Linked DNA regions of Anolis sagrei. The protein of the gene in region 3 purifies or fractionates together with the protein of the main gene of each other region. This does not show direct contact. Links are inferred from orthologs where the notes say so. Each region holds a gene or a part of one and is shown on either strand. Other genes may lie near its edges.

Region 1 (7,803 bases), on a different chromosome or scaffold from region 3:
AAAAGCCTCTTTTTCTTTCCTCTCCTTTCATTCCACAGACACAGCAACGCAAGGCAGGGTATTGAATAGAATAGGTTTTCTCAGTGAATCTATGTTTGCAACAATACTTTTATTTACTATCTCATTAATTTCAAACCAGACTGAGCCACAGCGAAGTGTGGTCAGGTTTAGCTAGTATATCTATATAAATCTCCCTCTTTAAATAAGATAGAAAGGCAGAACCTATATTGAGATACTGTGCAGACAGAAACCAACCTAATTAATATGCAGTGTCAAATGCTGTATTTAGTTTAGGTTATTATAATCCAGGAATATTGAACTGAAGGAAAATATTTTTAAAATTATTTTTGGAGAAGGAATATGCGATAAATCATTACAACACGGACAATAAACAGATATCCCAAATAATGGGCATCAGTCGGTACAGGTTGAGTGTCCCTTAACCAAAATATTTGGAACTGGAAGTGTTTTGGATCTGATTTTAGATGGTGGGATGTCTGTATTTGCAGATTTGTACATAATGACATATCTTGGAGAAGGGACCCAAGTCGAAACAAGAAATGCATATAGCCTGAATGCACTCTTTTATAGTAATTTTTGTGTGAAGCAATGTTTATGTAAATTGAAGCATTAGAAGCCCTAGTGTGGATCCAGCCTCATGTGGACAATTTTAGATTTGGGAGTATTTCAGATTTCCAAAGTCCGGATAAAGGATGACCAACCTGAACTGATTCTGGTGCCTCCACCTTGCTAGTGGAGTGGGCTGAGTTTATAGCAGTAACAAGCTGTCGGTACTTCAAAAATTTATTTCCAGTTACTGACTCCAATTCCATTTTACTCGAACAACCGGAGGGCTTTCACAGAACATCTTATGACTTCCTACACAAGACACCTCTCAATAGTGGAGACTGGTCATGACGTCCAATCTATTATTTATTTATTTATTTATTTATTTATTTATGCGCTTGTATACCGCTAATATCTCAGCCTAAGTCGGCGACTCATTGCGGTTTACAACAACTAAAAAGTTAAAAACAATTAAAAAACAGTATTCAATTTAAAACATGAAACACATATCTATATGTAAGATAAATCACTCATTCTATATTCTTAAGACTGCAGAAACTATACTTGCAATGGAGTGGACTGAGTGTGTAGCAGCTATGCTTAATCGACAGTAAGAAACTGTAGGTCACACACTTTTTAGACATGCATCACTTCATGACTAGGAAAGTGGAAGTTAAACCAACGCCTTATAAAAGATATAGACATATATATCACTTGTAGTGAAACATGAAAACTTTTCATTTATATTTTTTAAAAATTACTGATTTATTGCTAATTCCACATTGACCACGTGGTTTCTTGTTACCTTCATGCCACACAACTACACACTGCAGCTGATATACTAATGTGTCGCGACACTTAGTTTGAAAGTTCTGCTGTATGTACTTTAGAAATGTATTCCCACTAACTCCAAACCCATTTCACATTAACCAGTGCTTGGATTTCACAGTATACCTCATGGCTTCTTCAGTGGTGGACACTGGTCATGACCTCCAATCAGACATCCTCTCAACGCAGCCAAAGCCAAGCTTTCTAAGGTTTGAGCCACCCTAGGACTTCTTAACCTTTTCGGACCCCTTTCTGCCTGAAAAGAGTTTGTATGACCCAAGGTATATATACAGATAAAACAGGTATACAAAGCAAACATTTACTGATAACCAGCATTTGCAAGGCTTGCTAAACAGGCTGATTTTCCATTTTTATGAAGCACAGCTAAAGCATTTCTTGCAGAGTCCACTGTAAACATTGTAGGTTATTAACTGATTTGTGTAAATGGACAGATTCAAAAACCTTTCACAGTTGCCAAATTTTTCATGATCCCGACATCGAGTTGAAAGGAGACTCCATTTGAGGTTGGGACGCAGTTTACAAAGCAGTGATTTGCACTGTTGGATAACGCAGTCCAAAGTCCAGTATATGCTCAGTGTAGCTCTAGCCCAAGCCTCACTATGGGCCCTTCTACATAGCTGTATAAAATCCAGATTATCTGCTTTGAACTGGATTATCTGGCAGTGTAGACTCAGATAATCCAGTTCAAAGCAGATAACCTGGATGATCTGTCTTGATATTCTGGATTATAAGGCAGTGTAGAAGGGCCCTGAGTGTACTAATAGGAAACAAGACAGTGCTTGTCTGTGTGGGCCCATTCCACACAGCTGAATAAAATCCCACATTTTCTGCATTGGATGAGCTCCCTCTGTCAGCTCCAGCTCCCCATGTAGGTACATGAAAGAAGCCTCCCACAAAGATGGTAAAACATCAAAATATCAGGGCATCTCCTGGGCAACATCCTTGCAGATGGGCAAATTCTCCCACACCAGGAGCGATTTGCAATTTCTCAAGTTGTTCCTGATACACACACAAAAGAAAAAACAAACAAACTCAAAACTATGGGGATCTTCATTGCCAGTGTCTGCTTTGAACTGGATTTTCTGAGTCCACACTGCCATACATTCCTGTCCAAAGCAGAAAATGTGGGGTTTTATTCTGCTGTGTGGAAGGGGCCTGGGTTATGTCTGTGGGCCCTGCCACACAGCCTCATATCCTAGAATATCAAGGCAAAAAATCCCACATTATCTGATAACCCAGTTCAAAGCAGATATTGCGAGATTTCCTGCCTTGAGATGAAGGTTTTAATCCGGATTGGTGACAGATGAGGCCAGGCCCGTAGCCAGGATTTTGTTTGGGGGGGGGGGGCTGAGTTTGTTTGGGGGGGGGTGCTGAGTCTGAGTGAAAGAGGGTCTACCCTAGCAAACATTTTGTATCGTTACCCCAATACCCCAATGCATATGGGACATACTGAGCATGGTGATCAGATCATGATATGAATAAACATAACAGTTTAAATAATGCACCAGTAAGGCCTTCTTGCGGACCACCATGAGAATTTGGGGGGGGGGGGGGGCTGAAGCCCCCCAAGCCCCCCCCCCTGCTACATGCCTAAATGAAGCCCATTTAAGACCCCTTCTACACTTCCCTATATACCATAATCCAATCCCCGATTATTATTTGCTTTTGACTGAGGGTCCTTCCACAAAGCATGAAATCCCACAATATCTACTCTGACCTGGGTTATCAGATAATGTGGGATTTTTTGCCTTGATATTCTAGGATATGAGGCTGTGTGGCAGGACCCACAGACATATAAACCAGGCACCTTCCACACAGCAGAATAAAATCCCACATTTTCTGCTTTGGACACTCAGGTAATGTGGGATTTTCTGCCTTGATATTCTGGGATGTAGGGCTCCGTGGAAGGGCCCTGGGTTATCTGAGTCCACACTCATATAATGTGGGATTTTCTGCCCTGATACTCTGGGATACAGGGCTCTGTGGAAGGGCCCTGGGTTATCTAAGTCCACACTTATATAACGTGGGATTTTCTGCCTTGATATTCTGGGATACAGGGCTGAGTGGAAGGGCCCTGGGGTATCTGAGTCCACACTCATATAACGTGGGATTTTCTGCCTTGATATTCTGGGGTGTAGGGCTCTGTGGAAGGGTCCTGGGTTATCTAATTCCATGCTCATATAATGTGGGATTTTCTGCCTTGATATTCTGGGGTGTAGGGCTCTGTGGAAGGGCCCTGGGTTATCTGAGTGGGATTTTATATAACGTGGGATTTTCTGCCCTGATATTCTGAGATACAGGTCTGTATGAAATGGCCCTGGGCCTACATCCCATATCATATCCTAGAATATCAAGGCAAAAAATCCCACATTGTCTGATAACCCAGTTCAAAGTAGATATTGTGGGATTTCCTGCTTTGTGGAAGGACCCTCAGTCAAATGCTCCACACTCATATAATGTGGGATTTTCTGCCCTGATATTCTGGGATACAGGTCTGTATGGAAGGGCCCTGGGTTATATGAGTCCACACTCATATAATGTGGGATTTTCTGCCTTGATATTCTGGGATTTAGGGCTGTGTGGAAGGGCCCTGGGTTATCTGAGTCCATGGTCATAAAATGTGGGATTTTCTGCCTTGACATTCTGGGATGTAGGGCTCCGTGGAAGGGCCCTGGATTATCTGAGTCCACACTCGTATAATGTGGGATTTTCTGTCTTGACATTCTGGGATGTAGGGCTGCATGGAAGGGCCCTGGGTTATCTAGGGGCCTTTCCACACAGCCGTATAAACGAGAATATCTAGGCAAAAAATCCCACAATATCTGCTTTGAACCGTGTTTCCACACTACCATATATTCCAGTTGAAAGCAGAAAATGTGGTGTTTTATTCAGCTGTGTGGAAGGGGCCTAAGTCCACACTGAGGTAATGTGGAAGGATCCCCCAAGGATCCTAAGAGGGCAGTGTGGAAAGAGGCCTGAGGCTGCGGCCTTCCCTGCCTAAAATGAAAGGCGAAGGGGAGGGGGAATGGCGCTGGTGTCACGGCCGAGGCCTGTGTGGAGAGACAGAAAGAGAGAGAGTGGGAGGGAGAGGGGGGGAGAGAGAGAGAGTCGGCGCAATAGTCGCCCTTCGAAGCCATTCCCCTTCGTGAGTGTGTGTGGTGGTGTGTGTGTGCGCGCGAGGGGCCCCTCCGGCTGCCTCCCCTTGCGCCGTGCTCGCGCCGTGCGCCTGTCTCGCGAGCGGGGATCCCTCTCCGGCTGCCCCCGCCGTCGCCTGGGCCTCGGCCTGGTTGGCGACCGGGGAACACGTGAGGGAGGCGGCGGGCGGGCAGGCAGGCGGGCGGGCGGGCTGCGGGAAGAAGGAGAGGGAGGAGAAGGCGAGGCGGCGGCCGGAGTTCCCCCAACAGCTGGAGGTGGCCGCTCGCTCCAAGTTGTTGTGTCGGCCGCGGCTCCTCCTCTTTCTGCTCCCCTTGCTCGCTTCCCCTCAGCAGCAGCAGCCGCCTCCTCCTCCTCCTCTTCTCGCTCCTCCTTATTGACAAATACACAAAGGGCCGCAGCCGCCGGGCTGGAGACGCGTCTGGAGCCGGCATGGGAGACAAGAAGAGCCCCACAAGGTGAGCCTGCGAGGAGGGCGGCCAGGGGGTTGTTCTCGTGAGGGGCTTCTTCCTCGTCGCCCTCTCTCCCGCCTCCTCTTGTGGCGCGATGGCGGGGAGGCGAAAAGGGACGAGGAAAGGAGAGGAAGCCTGATCACTAGGCCAAGCGAGAGGAGGAGAAGGAGAAAGAGGAGGAGGAGGCACCGGCGGAATAGGTCTCCTCGGGTCGCTTACAAAAGCCTCCCGGTGCCTCTCTCTCTCTCCTTCCCCCGCTCGCTCTCCCCTCCTTATCCTTCCTCCCCTTTTCCCCTCCTCCTTATCCTCCCCCTCTTTCTCTCTCTTTTTATTTCCCGATTCTTTTTAGGCCGAAGCGGCAGCCGAAACCCTCCTCCGACGAGGGCTACTGGGACTGCAGCGTCTGCACCTTCCGCAACAGCGCCGAGGCCTTCAAGTGCATGATGTGCGATGTGAGGAAGGGCACCTCCACCCGGTGAGTGAGCGAGAGGAGACACACACACACACACACACAGCGAGGGAGAGGCCTGAGTGAGTGGCACCGCAGCCCTCCTCCAGCAGAACGGGAGGGAATGGCGGCGAAGGGAGGGAAAGGCCCAAGGAGGCTGCAGGGAGAGCAGAGAGAGAAGGAAGGGAGGAAGGATGGCGGGGAAGGGACAGCAGAGCCGGCCACCATCGCAGCCTTGCTCCTGATCGCCGCCTTTTCTCGGCAAGGGTGACAGGAGGGAGTGGAAGGGATTCCTTTCGCAGGGCCCTTGCACACAGCCCTATAACACAAGAATATCGTGGCAGAAAATACCACAATATCTGCTTTGAAGTGGGTTAACTGAGTCCAATTCAAAGCAGAAAATGTGGGATTTTCTGCCTTGATGTTCTGAGTTATAAGGGCCCTCAGACAACCCAGTTCAAAGCAGATATTATGGGATTTCCTGCCTTGATATTCTGGGTTCTATGGCTGTGTGGAAGGGCCCTCAGATAACTCAGTTCAAAGCAGATATTGTGGGATATTTGGCATTGATATTCTGGTTTTTGTGACTATGTAGAAGGACCTTCAGATAACCCAGTTCAAAGTAGGTATTGTGGAATTTCCTGCCTTGATATTCTAGGTTCTATAGCTGTGTTGAAGGGCCCTCAGATAACCCAGTTCAAAGCAGATATTTTGTGGAACTTCCTGCCTTGATATTCCGGGATATAGGACTGTGGAAGGGCCCTCAGATAACCCAGTTCAAAGCAGATATTGTGGAATTTCCTGCCTTGATATTCTGGGTTCTATGGCTGTGTGGAAGGACCCTCAGATAACTCAGTTCAAGGCAGATATTGTGGGATATTTGGCATTGATATTCTGGGTTTTCTGACTATGTAGAAGGACCTTCAGATAACCCAGCACAAAGTAGATATTGTGGAATTTCCTGCCTTGATATTCTAGGTTCTATAGCTGTGTAGAAGGGCCCTCAGATAACCCAGTTCAAGGCAGATATTGTGGAATTTCCTGCCTTGATATTCTGGGGCCCCTTCCACATAGCTGTATAAAATCCCAAATTTTCTGCTTTGAACTGGAATATATGGCAGTGTGGACTCAGGACCCTTCCATACAGCCCTATATCCCAGAATATCAAGGCAGAAAAATCTCACAATATCTGCTTTGAACTGGGTTATCTGAGGACCCTTCTGCACAGCCCTATATCCCAGAATATCAAGGCAGAAAACCCCACATTATCTGAATGTGGACTCAGATAACCCAGTTCAAAGTAGATATTATAGGATTTTTGGCCTTGATATTCTGGGGTTCTATGGCTGTGTAGAAGGGCCCTTAGATAACCCAGTTCAAGGTAGATATTGTGGAATTTCCTGCCTTGATATTCTGGGGCCCCTTCCACATAGCTGTATAAAATCCCACATTTTCTGCTTTGAACTGGAATATATGGCAGTGTGGACTCGGGACCCTTCCACACAGCCCTATATCCCAGAATATCAAGGCAGAAAATCCCACCTTATCTGAGTGAGGACTCAGATAACCCATTTAAAAGCAGATATTGTGGAATTTCCTGCTTTGATATTCAGGGATATAGGGCTGTGTGGAAGGGTCCTCCAATAACCCAGGATCCATCCACACAGCCCTATATCCCAGAATGTCATGGCAGAAAATCCCACATTATCTGAGTTTGGATTTAGATAGCCCAGTTCAAAGCAGATATTGTGGGATTATCTGGCCTCCAATAACCCAGGGCCCTTCCACACAGCTTTATATCCTAGAGTATAAAGGCGGAAATATCCGCTTTGAACTGGGTTATCTGAATTCACACTGCCATATATTCCAGTTCAAAGCAGAAAACGTGAGATTCTCTGCCTTGATATCTGGGTTATATTGCTGTGTGGAAGGGACCTGGGATACATATTAAGCATCTCTTATCCAGGATTATGAAACACAGTAGACTCTCTAGGGATTGGTAGACACTGGATATAAGTGTCCTTTCCCATTGCTTCAGGGTTACTGTTAAAAATAGGCCCAACTGAAATCTATGCCTCATACTATACCGTGTCATATGCTCTGTACAGGCAGTCCTCAAGTTACGAACATGATCAGTTCTGTAGGTTTGTTCTTAAGTTAGATTTGTATGTAAGTCAAATAATAATAGTAATAATAATGGAATACCATGTATCAGTTTCTTTCCAAATGAATAACTTAACTTCCACATGTTATTTACAATATTGCTGTATAAAACATGGTTTCTATTGTTTTCATTTGATCTGACGAGGAAACAAACTAAAATGATGGAGAATG
Region 2 (6,980 bases), on a different chromosome or scaffold from region 3:
ACTCTAAATGAGTTCAAGTCCCCTTTCAGGGCCAGATCAACTACACCCGAGAGTATTGAAGGAACTAGCAGAAGTAATCTCGGAACCATTGGCAATCATCTTTGAGAGTTCTTAGAGAACGGGAGAAGTTCCAGCAGATTGGAGGAAGGCCAATGTGGTCCCAATCTTCAAGAAGCAAAACAAGGATGACCCAAACAATTACCATCCGGTCAGCCTCACGTCGATACCAGGCAAGATTCTGGAAAAGATTGTTAAGGAAGTGGTCTGCAAACACTTAGAAACAAATGCGGTCATCGCTAATAGTCAACATGGATTTATCAAAAACAAGTCATGCCGGACGCATCTGATCTCTTTTTTCGATAGAGTTACAAGCTGGATAGGTGCGGGGAATGCCGTGGATGTTCTTTCAAGGTGCTTGGCGATTTATGATGACTCTAAGGCAAATATTCATAAATATTGTTTAGAGGCAAATGGCTTTCCCTTTCCTCTGAGGCTGAGAGAGTGTGACTTTCCCGATGGATTTCTGCGGCCAAGTAGGAATCATAGAATCATAGAATCCTAGAGTTGGAAGAGACCTCATGGGCCATCCAGTCCAACCCCCTGCCAAGAAGCAGGAATATTGCATTCAAAGCACCCCTGACAGATGGCCATCCAGCCTCTGGTTAAAAGCCTCCAAAGAAGGAGCCTCCACCACACTCTGGGGCAGAGAGTTCCACTGCTGAACAGCTCTTACAGACAGGAAGTTCTTCCTCATGTTCAGATGGAATCTCCTTTCTTGTTGTGGTGACCCCCAACCATAACATTATTTTCATTTCTACTTCATAACTGTAATTTTGCTACTGTTATGAATCATAATGTAAATATCTGCTATGCAGGATGTATTTTCATTCACTGGACCACATTAGCACAAATATCTGATGCATCCAAATTTGAATGCTGTTGGGGTTGGGGGAGATTGATTTTGTGATTTGGGAGTTGGAGTTGCTGGGATTTATAGTTAACCTGTACTCCACCAACGATAGAATTGAACAAAACTTGACACACAGAACTCCCATGACGTACAGAACATACTTGAAGGTTTGGTGGACATTGCCCAAACGTGAATACTGGTGAAGTTTGTAGAAAATAAACCTTGACATTTGGGAGTTGTTGCTGGGATTTATAGTTCACCTACAATCAAAGAGCATTCTGAACTCCACCAACAATAAAACTGAACATAACTTGACACACAGAACTCCCATGACCTACAGAACATACTCCAAGGTTTGGTGGACATTGCCCAAACGTGAATACTGGTGAAGTTTGGAGAAAATAAACCTTGACATTTGGGAGTTGTTGCTGGGATTTATAGTTCACCTACAATCAAAGCGCATTCTGAACTCCACCAACAATAGAATTGAACAAAACTTGACACACAGAACTCCCATGACCTACAGAAAATACTCAAAGGGTTTGGTGGACATTGCCCAAACATGAATACTGATGAAGTTTGGAGAAAATAAACCTTGACTTTTGCGAGTTGTTGCTGGGATTTATAGTTCACCTACAATCAAAGAGCATTCTGAACTCCACCAATGATAGAATTGGGCCAAACTTCCCTCACAGAAGCCCCATGAACAACAGAAAATATTGTGTTTTCTGATGGTCTTTGGCGACCCCTCTGACATCCCCCTCGCGCAGAGGCGGCCCTAGGTAATTTTCAACGGTATTCAAACAGTATTTTGGCGCCCCACCCCACCCCACCCACCCACCCAACCAATCACTGATATATATTTTCTGTTCGTCGTGGGAGTTCTGTGTGCCATATTTGGTCCAATTATATCATTGGTGGAGTTCTGAATGCTCTTTGGTTGTAGGTGAACTATACATCCCAGTAACTACAACTTGCATATGTTAAGGTCTATTTTCCCCCAAGAGCACCTCAAGAGCACCCCTGTGCAAAATCAACTATACTGCAAAGGCTTACTTTGCGTAATGGTTGAGCCGCCCCTGTGGAGGACCAAGTAAATGCCTAGTGAGGGCATATTTTGTCAGATGTGGGTACATGAGACAGTGGTTTGTACTGATCTCATGGGTTAGGCTCTATAAAGGAACCCAATGATGGCCTTTTCCTATTAGATGGCTCCACTGCCGTCCCTTTCAACACTTCTCAACCTACTGAAGCCTCTCACGAGGTCTCCAAGGGCCGCCCGTAAACAAAAATACATTGCAGTAGTCAAGCCACAAGCATTTCCTATGAGACCACAACTTGGAAAGACCTCAAGGTCTATTTTCCTCCAAGAGCGCCTCAAGAGCGCCCCTGGGCAAAATCAACTATACTGCAAAGGCTTACTTTGTGTAATGGTTGAGCCGCCCCTGTGGAGGACCAAGTAAATGCCTAGTGAGGGCATATTTTGTCAGATGTGGGTACATGAGACAGTGGTTTGTACTGATCTCATGGGTTAGGCTCTATAAAGGAACCCAATGAAGGCCTTTTCCTGTTAGATGGCTCCACTGCCGTCCCTTTCAACACTTCTCAACCTACTGAAGCCTCTCACGAGGTCTCCAAGGGCCGCCCGTAAACAAAAATGCATTGCAGTAGTCAAGCCACAAGCATTTCCTATGAGACCACAACTTGGAAAGACCTCAAGGTCTATTTTCCCCCAAGAGCGCCTCAAGAGCGCCCCTGGCCAAAATCAACTATACTGCAAAGGCTTACTTTGCGTAATGGTTGAGCCGCCCCTGCCCTTGCGACCCCCAGGTTGAGAAACGCTGCCTTACCTTCTCTATAGATCCTGGAAGGAGTCGGAGAAGGAGTTTGCACAAGACGACTCCATCTTTGAGGGACGTTTTGAGGAATTGCAGGGGGTCCCCGACCTTCATTTTCGGGGAGTTCAAGGCTCCCAGTGAAATCAACCAGGTCACAATTTGCTCTTCGGGGTTCATGCTGGTAGGGTTTCTCCGTCTCGATGAAAAGGCCGAGCCACCTCCACAACACTGCCTTCCTGCTTCTTCTGGGCCAAACCGCCCTGAGATGTCACAGATTGCCCTGCGCTGAAAGCCACTGTCCTTTTCTCTTTTTTTTTCCGGTTTACAAAGTCACCAGAAACTGACTTCCCTCTTGACTAGAGGAACGGGTTTGTGCGCATTTGCACACATGGCTTCTCGTCTGCAGAAGTGCCAAGGAGGGAAGCTTCTGGGGCTAGAAGTCGTGCCGTAAACACGGATTTCCTGTGTCGCTGAAAACAGAAACTTCGTGCATCGATAGCTTTCTACATCCTTCCTTCATCTTCAAGGATAGAAGCCTTGGTTACACCTGGAGAATGAGTTGGGACAGGGGCGGCACAATCCAGTACGCAAAGTGAGATGGCAACTACAGATTACTGAAGTCGAACATGACCCCCCCCCCCCCATAAAAGATAGTAACTTATAGTTTTGCTAAGGACAAGCACATGAGACTTGATAATACGGGTTTGTGGCGCAGCTGGCTGAGTGTCAGCTGCATTAAGATCACTCTGACCAAAAAGGTCATGAGTTCGAAGCCAGCCCGGGCTGGAGTGGGTGTCCAGCCATTGTGTAGCCCGTTGTCGACCTTTGCAACCCGAAAGACAGTTGCATCTGTCAAGTAGGAAAATAAGGTACCACCTTGTGTGGGAGGCTAAATTTAACTAATTTATGAGGCCATAAAGAAAAAAGACTCCGGGGAATGTGGAATGCGGAAGAACTTCATCGGTGTTGTTGATGGATGATGAAAAGCAGCAACTCCCCTGGCGGCCAGAAAAAAGTTAAATAGCCTCGGTGTATTTGTCTGTTAAATGTTGTTTGTCAAACTGGCATTGAATGTTTGCCATATATGTGTTTACTGTAATCCGCCCTGAGTCCCCTGCGGGGTGAGAAGGGCGGAATATAAGAACTGTAAATAAATAAATAAATAAATAAATAAATTTATTTATCGTGTCATCAGCAACCATACCATTGTGTTACAATTCTAACACAACAAAACAAATACACAGATTAAAAAAAAACCCACAGATTTTGCAAACTTGGTAGTTGGTTAAATGTCCTTGGACCAGTACCTGGCCACTTGGAGTGCCTCTGGTGTTGCCGCAAGGTGGTCCTCCATTGTGCATGTGGCAGGGCTCAGGGTGCATTGCAGCAGGTGGTCAGTGGTTTGCTCTTCTCCGCACTCGCATGCCGAGGATTCCACCCTGTAACCCCATTTCTTAAGATTGGCTCTGCATCTCGTGGTGCCAGAGCGCAGTCTGTTCAGCGCCTTCCAAGTCGCCCAGTCTTCTGTGTGCCCAGGGGGGAGTCTCTCATCTGGTATCACCCATGGATTGAGGTGCTGGGTTTGGGCCTGCCACTTTTGGACTCTCGCTTGCTGGGGTGTTCCAGCGAGTGTCTCTGTAGATCTAAGAAAACTATGTCTTGATTTAAGTCGTTGACGTGCTGGCTGATACCCAAACAGGGGATGAGCTGGAGATGTCTCTGCCTTGGTCCTTTCACTATTGGCTGCTACTTCCCGGCGGATGTCAGGTGGTGCAATACCGGCTAAGCAGTGTAATTTCTCCAGTGGTGTGGGGCGCAGACACCCCGTGATAATGCGGCATGTCTCATTAAGAGCCACAGCTACTGTTTTAGTGTGGTGAGATGTGTTCCACACTGGGCATGCATACTCAGCAGCAGAGTAGCATAGCGCAAGGGCAGATGTCTTCACTGTGTCTGGTTGTGATCCCCAGGTTGTGCCAGTCAGCTTTCGTATGATGTTGTTTCTAGAACCCACTTTTTGCTTGATGTTCAGGCAGTGCTTCTTGTAGGTCAGAGCACGGTCCAAAGTGACTCCCAGGTATTTGGGTGTGCTGCAATGCTCCAGTGGGATTCCTTCCCAGGTAATCCTCAGAGCTCGGGATGCTTGTCTGTTCTTAAGGTGAAAGGCGCATGTCTGTGTTTTAGATGGATTAGGGATCAGTTGGTTTTCCCTGTAATAGGCAGTAAGAGCACCTATAGCTTCTGAGAACTTATCTTCAACCATCTCAAAGCTCCCTGCTTGAGTGGTAATGGCACGATCATCAGCATAGATGAAGCTCTCTGTCCCTTCTGGCAGTGGCTGGTCATCTGTGTAGATGTTGAACATGGATGGAGCAAGCACGCTCCCCTGAGGCAGGCCGTTCTTCTGTTTCCGCCATCTGCTTCTCTGGCCCTGAACTCAACAAAAAAGCTCCTGTTTTGTAGCAGGTTTCCTATGAGGCGGGTGAGGTGGTAGTCCTTTGTGATATTATACATTTTTCTCAGGAGGAGGCGGTGGGTTAAGCCTTGGTCAATTTGCCAAGACACTAACAACAACAAGGACTCTTCCCATGTTAGATAGTGCGTACATTTAATCAAGTTTTTATTCCCTAGGTTTCATATATAGCAGAAGGTAGCACATTTATAGTGGAGCCCCTGGTGGCGCAGTGGGTTAAACCCCTGTGCCGGCAGGACTGAAGACCGACAGGGGAGAGGCAGATGAGCTCCCTCTATCAGCTCCAGCTCCTCATGTGGGGACATGAGAGAAGCCTCCCACAAGGATAAAAACATCAAAATCATCCAGGTGTCCTTGGGCAACGTCCTTGCAGACGGCCAATTCTCTCACACCAGAAGTGAGTTTCTCAAGTCGCTCCTGACACAACAAAAAAAAGCACATTTATTGCTGAGAAACCACCTCCCTTTACACTTATGTGCTCTCTTGAACTTCTATGGGACTCTGGTGGGAGGGATAAGTGGGTATGCTTTCTATAACATGATTTCTATTTTTATATATTCCTCCCTGTGTATCTGACCTTTTCCTGACCCCTTTGCCCAATTCCCCTTTATTGAAAAATGTATAAAAATATAAGAAGCCACCCCTGTGACCCTGGAAAGAAGGAAATCTCCAGTTGAAAAAGACCCTTATCAAAAGACACTATTTGCATGGACAATAACAAAGGACTGTGACCTCTGGCCTTGGAGTTGGCCCCCCAGAGGAAGCGGTCACTTGGCATTTATGATCATATCTCAACTTGGCATTTATGATCATATCTCAATTTGTCCTATTCTGTTACTGATTCAACTTTTACCCACTGAAACCACAGCCAAAATTCCCTCATTGTTCCTGTCTCTCAGCACTGGAAAAATCCGGATTATGGCAGGCTTGCCAGACAATCAACGTTTCTCAATGACAATAGGAATGGCTGGCTCGCACGCCCCAGGACTCGTTGGCCGTTTGGACATTTCCTACCTCCATAATCCTCCCAAGAATCCATTGTTTCCCTCTCGTCCCGCCTCCCTCCTGATTTGTCAGGATGCCAAGACGGCAGAAGCCCAGCGATTGGCCCAGGTGCTCAGGAGGTGGCCAAGCCTCCTCCCAGCTGTAGAGCGCCAGCCAATCATCGTCGAGCCGGCAGAGGGGCGGGGAATGGGAGATTCAAACCTGGCAGCTCTGTTTTATGTATAAAAAGGCCTTTATTTTTGTACACTGTATGCTCAGCTTGGTGAAATATTGCTGCTTTGCATCCTTTTCAGCTGAATCGCCATAAAATGATCTTGGTGGCACTTCCTTCAACTTTGGTGAGATTTCTTTTGGGAACTTAGGAAAAACCTTTTAAATTGGGCTTCTCTTTGCTCACCATTGTAGCGAACCCTCTTTTTTGTGGGTCCGCAGGGTCTCTCCTTCAGGGCCAGACCCTTTTAAATTCCTCCATGATTTCAATAGTGCTATAAGAGGTCGGATTATACAAAACACTGGGGAATTTCTGTGGGGTTCAGCATGAACTTTAAAGGCTGGGTAAAAACAAATGTATTTTCATTACAATAGTTATTTAACTGGCCAACAGCACCACCTACTGGTAGCTTCACTTTACTCTATCTATGGATTGAATCCATAATTATGAATGCCACAGAAAATCTGTTCTGGTTGCTAAGTTACCACTATGTAACAAAATTTCAAAAAAATATGTTCCTTGTTTGAAAATGTTGAAGTGTGT
Region 3 (7,602 bases):
AAGAAGACTGATTCTTTCTGCTATTATCAACTCCTTTAGTTTCAGCATAACTAGACCAGCAGAGGAATAGAATTTAGCCTATAAGCTTAAACAGAAAAAAGGAGTGATAACATCCTGAAGACTAAAAACATTAATTGTGACATAAACTTTTGTGAACACTGCATCCAATGCACAATAGCTAGCAAATATGGTGGCCTTTGGTATCCAATGGTTGGTTGAATGAAGTGGATGTCCACCTGTGAATACTTAAGGGCAGCAGTATACATGAGTGTACACACACATATATGCACAATATTAACAATACCTATTTGAAAGAAGTCAGCAGTTTACTAATATACTTATATATATACACACACACACACACACACACACATACACACACTATATATCACAAACTTTCAGTTAGAATTTCAATAATACTTCATTAATTTAGGAACTAATCTATTTCTACTGTGAGAATTTCTGAACCACTTCTTTCCATTGCATCAAGTATCACCACAATGTCCTTACCTTCCAACATGGTCTTTATGGTTACAGACTGTTTTGCAATTTCAACATCAACTTCAAATATTTCTCCATCAGAACTCTGCAGTTTAATTGAAGGCATCTATAAAAGGAAAATAATAGCCGATATTCTTAGAGCCATAGGCTTACATGATAGTCCTGCTTCATATTAACTGACATACTGATATGTCAAGTACAAGAGATTTAAAATTGAGGGTAAGCTGAGATTTTCTTATGTTGCCATACACAAAGTATTTTGAAGTTCTCTTAACACCATGTACAATAATCTTCATACCTCTGAAAAGCAGGGCAATATTATCCCCAAAGTGCAGTTGCAGAGCTGGCCATAGCAATGGCTACTAAAAGTCATATATTGAATTCATAAGTAAAATATTTTTTAAAGAATTCTACATTGACCTGTGCTTATTCTGTACCTCCATACTATATCTACAGAGTGTACTAGAGTAAAGTAGGTATATTTAGATAATATTGCAGATAATTTCAATATCTCATTTTAGGTTTGAACAAAAGAATACATTATAGGAACACTAATAAATTGGTTTCTTCTACCTGACTTATCTGTGACCCTTTGATGCTTGCCTTGTTCACTTTAAGCAATCCTTTGTTACCTGCAGTATGGAGTAGTCCCCTTCAAATAAATAATGTTTGAGTTACAGATTCAAAGAACTATTTGGGTACTTTTACAAAGATTTGATTCCTGGCAAGAACTCTGGATTCCAGTCATCCGGATTTTGTACTAGGCAATCATCCAAGATATGATACTGCAGTTTTAAACAACGTAATGCGTATTTCTTCTCAGCATCAGAGGATGCTGCATCATATTTTGAATTTCTATAATTTGATTAAGACAATAGTTCTAAACCAGTCTTTTGCTTATATACTTTGCAGGGTATCTAGAAGTTCTGAAATTCCTAATTAAAGTGACTTTTTAAAAATACTGAAGCCATGCACAAATTATTATATTTGATCATAATTATTTCTAGCCTGTGATAAAAGTATGAAATACTGAACAAGGAGAACATTATTATTTTTGTAGAAGAATGCCTCAGGTTCATGCCATAATAGTAAATACTTCCCATAGCCTTTGTCAAAGGACATTTGCCAACTGCCATTTAATAGGCCTCTTTTTACAGATGATTATTTTGAAACTAATAGTAGATGTGAAAACATTCAACTCTTTAAAAAAATCTGATTGGAATATCTGTAAACATCTATGAGTGATGCCAACTCCAGTTCTTTGGACTTCAGATTCCAGAATCTCGGACTAATTGGTCAAGTTGCTGAGGCTGCTGCGATTTGAAGTCCAAAACACTTTAGGAACCAGAAATCACTTACCTAGTTGCACAATGATTATACCAGCCAATCTTAAAACTGTGCCGTTTTTAAATATCGTTTTATTTTTACTTTACTATATATATGCTCCATTACACAAAATATTTTTAAGATTATATTCACGTTTTAATTGTGTTGTTTTTAATTGTATTGTGTCATGTTCACTGTTTTGGCATGTCAAGAGAAAGGTGGCATAACAATAAACAAAAACATTGAAATCCGACTTTGGGCAGCCTCTTGTCAAGAGGACACACTGTACCCAATTGTAGTAATGTTTACGATGACTGATCTAGGTGGAACTATTCAAAACAACTAACTCTCGATCCAACCAACTACCTCAGTGATAAATATAAATTATTACAATTATGTTTATTTATATACCACTGGCTCAAAGCCTTGGCAGGGTTATTTAATATTAAAACTATTGTCATTTAAAAAATATATTAAAAATATTAAGCAGTTCCAGAATATATGCCTAGAGTGACTAAGCAAGTATTCTCTGTAGTAAACAAGACGGTACTTCTGGCAATAACATATTTGGTTGGCCCTGAATCTTCCCAACTACATACAGAGAGGAGGAGCTACTTGGAAAACTCAGGACTCAATCCCTTCACGGAAATACTGGCCAGGGATTACATCACTGGCGAGGAAGCGAAGAGAGCCATTTTATGATGCTACTGAAAGGTAGGTGATCCCAGATAGAGATATTCTGTATATACACACACGCTTCCCTTAATATAATAGACGACTATAAGATGGGAGGCAAGAGGACATTCCTCTCTGGGGTCCCAAGACAAGGAAGCTAAGAAGGTCGAGGCAGAGAAGGGAAAGGAATCCCGGCTAAGTTCCTAAGTCACCCATCCTTCCTTTCTCCTTTCCCTTCGTCGGAGGCGGGAGGCCTCTCCCTTAGCAACCACCTGCGCGGAGCCTCCGCGCCGCCGCCCTCGCCTCACCAGGCCTCCCTCCGCTGTCTCCTCGGCTCTCCAAGCCAAACCCGTGTGGAGTGAGGCCTACTCCCGGACCAGGCCTCAGCCTCGCTCACCGTGAACGCAGCTGCGGCAGCAACGCCTCGTAGCTCCACCCGCCTCGACACTAAACCCGAGCGCGCTCAGGTCGCGCGCCGCCGCACGCTTTTTATAGTTCTGGGGGCGGGGCGGGATTCGAGGCTGACTCCGCCCTCTTCGCCTCCGAAGGATAGGCGCCTAATGAAAGTGCCTGCGCTGGAGGAAAAGCGGGGCGGGAGGATGGAGGAACAGCGGAAGACGGGCAGGCGGGACGGAGGGAGGTAGGGGAGAGCCAGGCACTTCCAGGCGCACTGTTTCCCGAAAAAGGGATGAGAGGAAAACGCTGGAAAAGCACGGGAGAGACATCCCGCCTCGACTACTGCAACGCTCTCTACGTGGGGCTGCCCTTGAAGACGGCCCGGAAGCTTCAGCTAGTACAGCGCGCGGCAGCCATGTTGTTAACGGGGGCTGGACGCAGAGAGCATACAACGCCTCTGCTGTCTCAGCTCCACTGGCTGCCGATTTGCTACCGGGCCCAATTTAAGGTGCTGGTGTTATCCTACAAAGCCCTAAACGGTTCCGGCCCAAAATACCTCGCAGACCGCATCTCGGCCTACGAGCCCACGAGGGCCTTGAGATCATCCGGGGAGGCCCTTCTCTCGGTCCCGCCTGCCTCACAGGCACGTCTGGCGGGGACGAGGGAGCGGGCCTTCTCGGTGGTGGCCCCCCGGCTGTGGAACACTCTCCCTGCTGAAGTTAGACAGGCGCCCTCCTTGATGGCCTTTCGTAGGGGCCTAAAAACATGGCTCTTTGAACAGGCCTTCAATTGAGTGTAGTTAAATTGACAATGGAATGAACTAGGACTACGAATTTCGGCTATGACCCCAGGACTTGACGAAGCGGATTTTTAGTATAAGTATATGTTATGTTGTATCCGTCTGGTTTGTATTGTCTTTATTTACTGTACATTGTCTTGTTGTTGTTGTTCACCGCCCCGAGTCGCCTTCGGGCTGAGAGGGGCGGTCAATAAGTGCAAGAAATAAATAAATAAATAAATAATAAGAGGCCCTTCACTTCCTTGGGGTCCTTCAGGCAGAATCCATGGCCGCCTACGTAGGAAACAAACGCTCCCAAGGAAACCGTCGCCTCGCATTGGCGGCCATTCTGGCGCGCGTCATAAACGTAAGGGCGGCGCTGGCCAACCCGACGTGCTTCAGAGTAGTACAGGCACGGGCAAGCCTGGGCCCTCCCTCCAGGGGGGTTGGATTTCCATTCCCACCATTCCCAACAGCCTCAGGGCCTTTCCTTTCCCCCCTCAGCCGCTGAAGCGAAGAGGGAAGGGCTTGGGCCTGTTAGGAAAACACCTGGAGGGCCCACGTTTGCCCTGGATGCTGTCAGGCCCGAACTCCCCTACTCTTAAAGATACAGGCTCTAAATTATATATCCTGCCTTTGGAGGCAGCATATTAGTAGCATCACGAACTTCATTTTAACGTAGAAGAACTGTTTAACAATAATATAACGGGGCATTGAACCAAGCCAACGCTGGATCTGGACCAAACTTGGCACATAGAGCCATTGTGCCCAACAGTGAATACAGGCAGGGATTGGGGAATGATTGCCCTTTTCAAATGGTAGTTGTTGTTTACCTGGATTCAGGAAGCACCGAAGGCAGCCAACATCATATCTGGACCAAACACGGCCAACTGTGCATACAGGACAGGCGGGGATTGGGAGTGATTGACCTTGTATCTGAGAGTTATCCAGAGGGCACTGAACCAAGCAAACGCTGGATCTGGACTAAACTTGGCGCATGGAGCCAATGTGCCCAACTGTTCATAGAGGCATGGATTAGGGAATGATTGCCCCTTTTCAAATGGGAGTTGTTGTTTACCTGGATCCAGAGAGGTCTCAGAAGGCAGTCGACAGGCTCGACTCACGGGCACAAAGGCCTATTGCAGCCTCCGAGCGGTCTGTGGTGCAGCAGCATCCTCTTTGGCGCCAGGGCTGTCAGCGCACTCCCCTGCCTCTCCTGGCACTGAAGGCTGAAACCAGGGGCACCGAAGAGGAAAGTGAGTGCGCCGAGGGCCCAGGCACAGACAAGGACACCACTGGGCCCTTTTTGCGGACTATCCTGAGAATTTGGGGGGGGGGGTGAAGCACCTCAACCCCCCCCCCCCTCGGCTACATGTATGGCTGCTGTAGTAGCTGCGAGCTCGCTTGCACCTGTGGGCTGTTGCCCCTCATTTGAGCAGAGAACACATGCGTCTACTTTGTTGTGTTCATCCCACAGTATTACCTACATTGTCAGGAATCTGGTATGAGCTGTTCACGCCACAGAAAGCCACACTTTTTCAGAAGTCGCCCAGAACTTTTGTTCTACAAGTTGTGTGAAGAGCCTTCCAGGTCTAGATACCCTGATCCCCTCTGATGTTGGAGGATTAATGGGGTTAGCCCTGGTTAGTACTTGGATGGCAGGCGCAAACTAAGAATCCCAGTGGCTGTGGGCTGTTTCAGAGGAAGGGAACTCCTGGGGCCTAAAATGGAGTAACTTAAAGGCATGCCACATACTGCTGCTCCTTGCCACATCCTCAGCAGGTGCCTTATTTCAGCAATACCATGTCAGACTATACAGAGAAGCCATTGAAATCCATAAGCATGTGGAGAATTTCAACAGAAAGGAGGAAACTATGAAAATGAACAAAATCTGTCTACCTATATTGAAAAAAACCCTCTAAAATCAAAACAGTAAATAAAGAACAACTCAAAAGGGGGAATTCCAGACAAGAAACAATCAGGGCCAGTTAATCACTCCCCCCCCCCCCCCTACACACACACACAAGATTCTCCCCGGCAGGAAGCAGGCAGACCTTGAAACTGCAAGGCTATTAAATGCTAATCAAGGTGGCCAATTGAAACATTTGCGCCTGCCTCAAACAGACATGAGTTATTTCTCCCACCCTGGACATTCCACAGATATATAAATCCCACTTTCCTAGTTTCCAACAGACCTTACAACCTCTGAGGATGCCTGCCATAGATCCAGGCAAAACGTTGGGAGAAAATGCTTCTGGAACAAGACCATACAGCCTGAAAAACTTACAGCAACCCAGTACAGGTATAAATTGAGCATCCCTTATCCAGAATTCTGAAATCCTCCCAAAGCATCGCCTTGGGTAGCTGAGATAGGGGCGCTTGTGCTTTCTAATGGTTCTGATGGTACACATACATTGTTTCTTGGGCCAAATTATTAAACGTTGTATAGAGTTACTGGGATGAGGGAATTGTGAATGCTGTGGGCTGCATTTCAGAGGAAGGAACTTACAAACCCACCTGTGAATATCCGTTACCTAAGAAAACCCAATGAATATGAATATGAAGGACTCACCATAAGTCTACGGACTCCTTGATGTGTTATGTCTATACAGATATTTTTAAATTGAGGTTGAGGTCAGGATGACTATGCACCACTCCCAGTATGGAAACGGAATGCCTCAATTTATCAGATGGTAGGGGAAATGCAGGCGAAGGTGTGTTATCATGTGAAGTCTTTCACCGTTGGATTAAGAGGCCTTCGGCCTGACTCCACATAGACATTTATTATGCCCAACAGAATAGGCACATAAAGTCCATGCAGCTAAAGCTATTGTACAGCCTTTTCATATTGCCTGGATCCAACTGGCACCTGATACCATTCTATTAGTATTGTGTTTGCTTTCTTATTAGGCCATATTACTGTAATTTCACCCAGGGAGGATCATCTCGGTAAAATTCAAATGACTACTAATTAAAACTCTTACATTTATGATCTTTTGATTTATCTCTCTCGATTTGAATACCTCTCAGCAGTAAAACACAACTGATTGCCAAATCTGAACCCTTAAAATCTATTTTTTTGATCTGGATAGTTAACTATCAGAGGAAAAAAAACTCATCTATAGAAAAAGAATCCTATTAATATCCTGTTTTCCTTACACAGCTCTCAAATGCGAAACATCTTCCAGACGGGGAGGGGGAGGGAGGGGTTATTCTTTTTCTCTCACAGACATGACAGAAAAATCCCTTCTCTGAACATGCTATTAGTATTTAAGTGATGTTCCCTTTGAAGTGCAAGTAGCAGCTTCAATGGCACTCTTTTTGCCAGGAGTAGCCATAGGAAGGGAAAGACCTTCAGGTCCCCCATCCACGGTCCTGAAGCTGTGCAGGTTTTCTCATGGCCATTATTTGCACAGTAAAAGGGAAAGGTTTGCTTACCTATAACTGTAGTTCGCCGCGTGGTCATCACACAAAGAGGTCCTGTGTGCAGTGCAAGTTTCAAAACCTTAAAGCCATGCAACCCACCCACTCCCTTTGGGGGGAGCAATAGCTCACCTACTCAGTTCAGGCCATGCCACTGTGCTTCCTGCCTAACCCTCAACTCCATGGACACCCAAGTAGCAGCATTCAAGGATCTAAAGCAGGGGTCCTTAAACTAAGGCCCGAGGGCCGAATCCGGCCCTCCAAGGTCATTTACCCGGCCCTCGCTCAGGGTCAACCTAAGTCTGAAATGACTTGAAAGCACACGACAACAATCCTATCTCATCAGCCAAAAGCAGGCCCACACTTCCCATTGGAATACTAATAAGAGTACATTTATTAAAATTTGTTCTTTATTTTAATTATTGTATTGTTGTTAAGTATTTTTTGCACTACAAATAAGATATGTGCAGTGTTTTTAGGAATTCATTGGTTTTTTTTCAAAA

Evidence for each region. Proteins that work in one complex are often made in the same cells at the same time.
Region 1: the proteins of SKP1 (region 3) and YAF2 purify together in Homo sapiens (affinity purification with mass spectrometry; 3 studies listed by BioGRID and IntAct, with this or other methods). This does not show direct contact. The link is inferred for Anolis sagrei from reciprocal best matches to the Homo sapiens genes SKP1 and YAF2.
Region 2: the proteins of SKP1 (region 3) and ARHGEF6 purify together in Homo sapiens (affinity purification with mass spectrometry; 3 studies listed by BioGRID and IntAct, with this or other methods). This does not show direct contact. The link is inferred for Anolis sagrei from reciprocal best matches to the Homo sapiens genes SKP1 and ARHGEF6.

The regions. Positions count from the first base shown.
Region 1 is NC_090025.1:136,447,299-136,455,101, reverse strand, and holds the start of YAF2 (YY1-associated factor 2), read left to right. Parts: upstream 1-4,748; 5' UTR 4,749-5,001; coding exon 5,002-5,027; intron 5,028-5,370; coding exon 5,371-5,496; intron 5,497-7,803. UniProt on the Homo sapiens protein: Binds to MYC and inhibits MYC-mediated transactivation. Also binds to MYCN and enhances MYCN-dependent transcriptional activation. Increases calpain 2-mediated proteolysis of YY1 in vitro.
Region 2 is NC_090030.1:25,206,520-25,213,499, forward strand, and holds the start of ARHGEF6 (rho guanine nucleotide exchange factor 6), read right to left. Parts: upstream 3,056-6,980; 5' UTR 2,926-3,055; coding exon 2,761-2,925; intron 1-2,760. UniProt on the Homo sapiens protein: Acts as a RAC1 guanine nucleotide exchange factor (GEF).
Region 3 is NC_090022.1:92,082,099-92,089,700, reverse strand, and holds the start of SKP1 (S-phase kinase-associated protein 1), read right to left. Parts: upstream 3,007-7,602; 5' UTR 2,900-3,006; intron 608-2,899; coding exon 511-607; intron 1-510. UniProt on the Homo sapiens protein: Essential component of the SCF (SKP1-CUL1-F-box protein) ubiquitin ligase complex, which mediates the ubiquitination of proteins involved in cell cycle progression, signal transduction and transcription.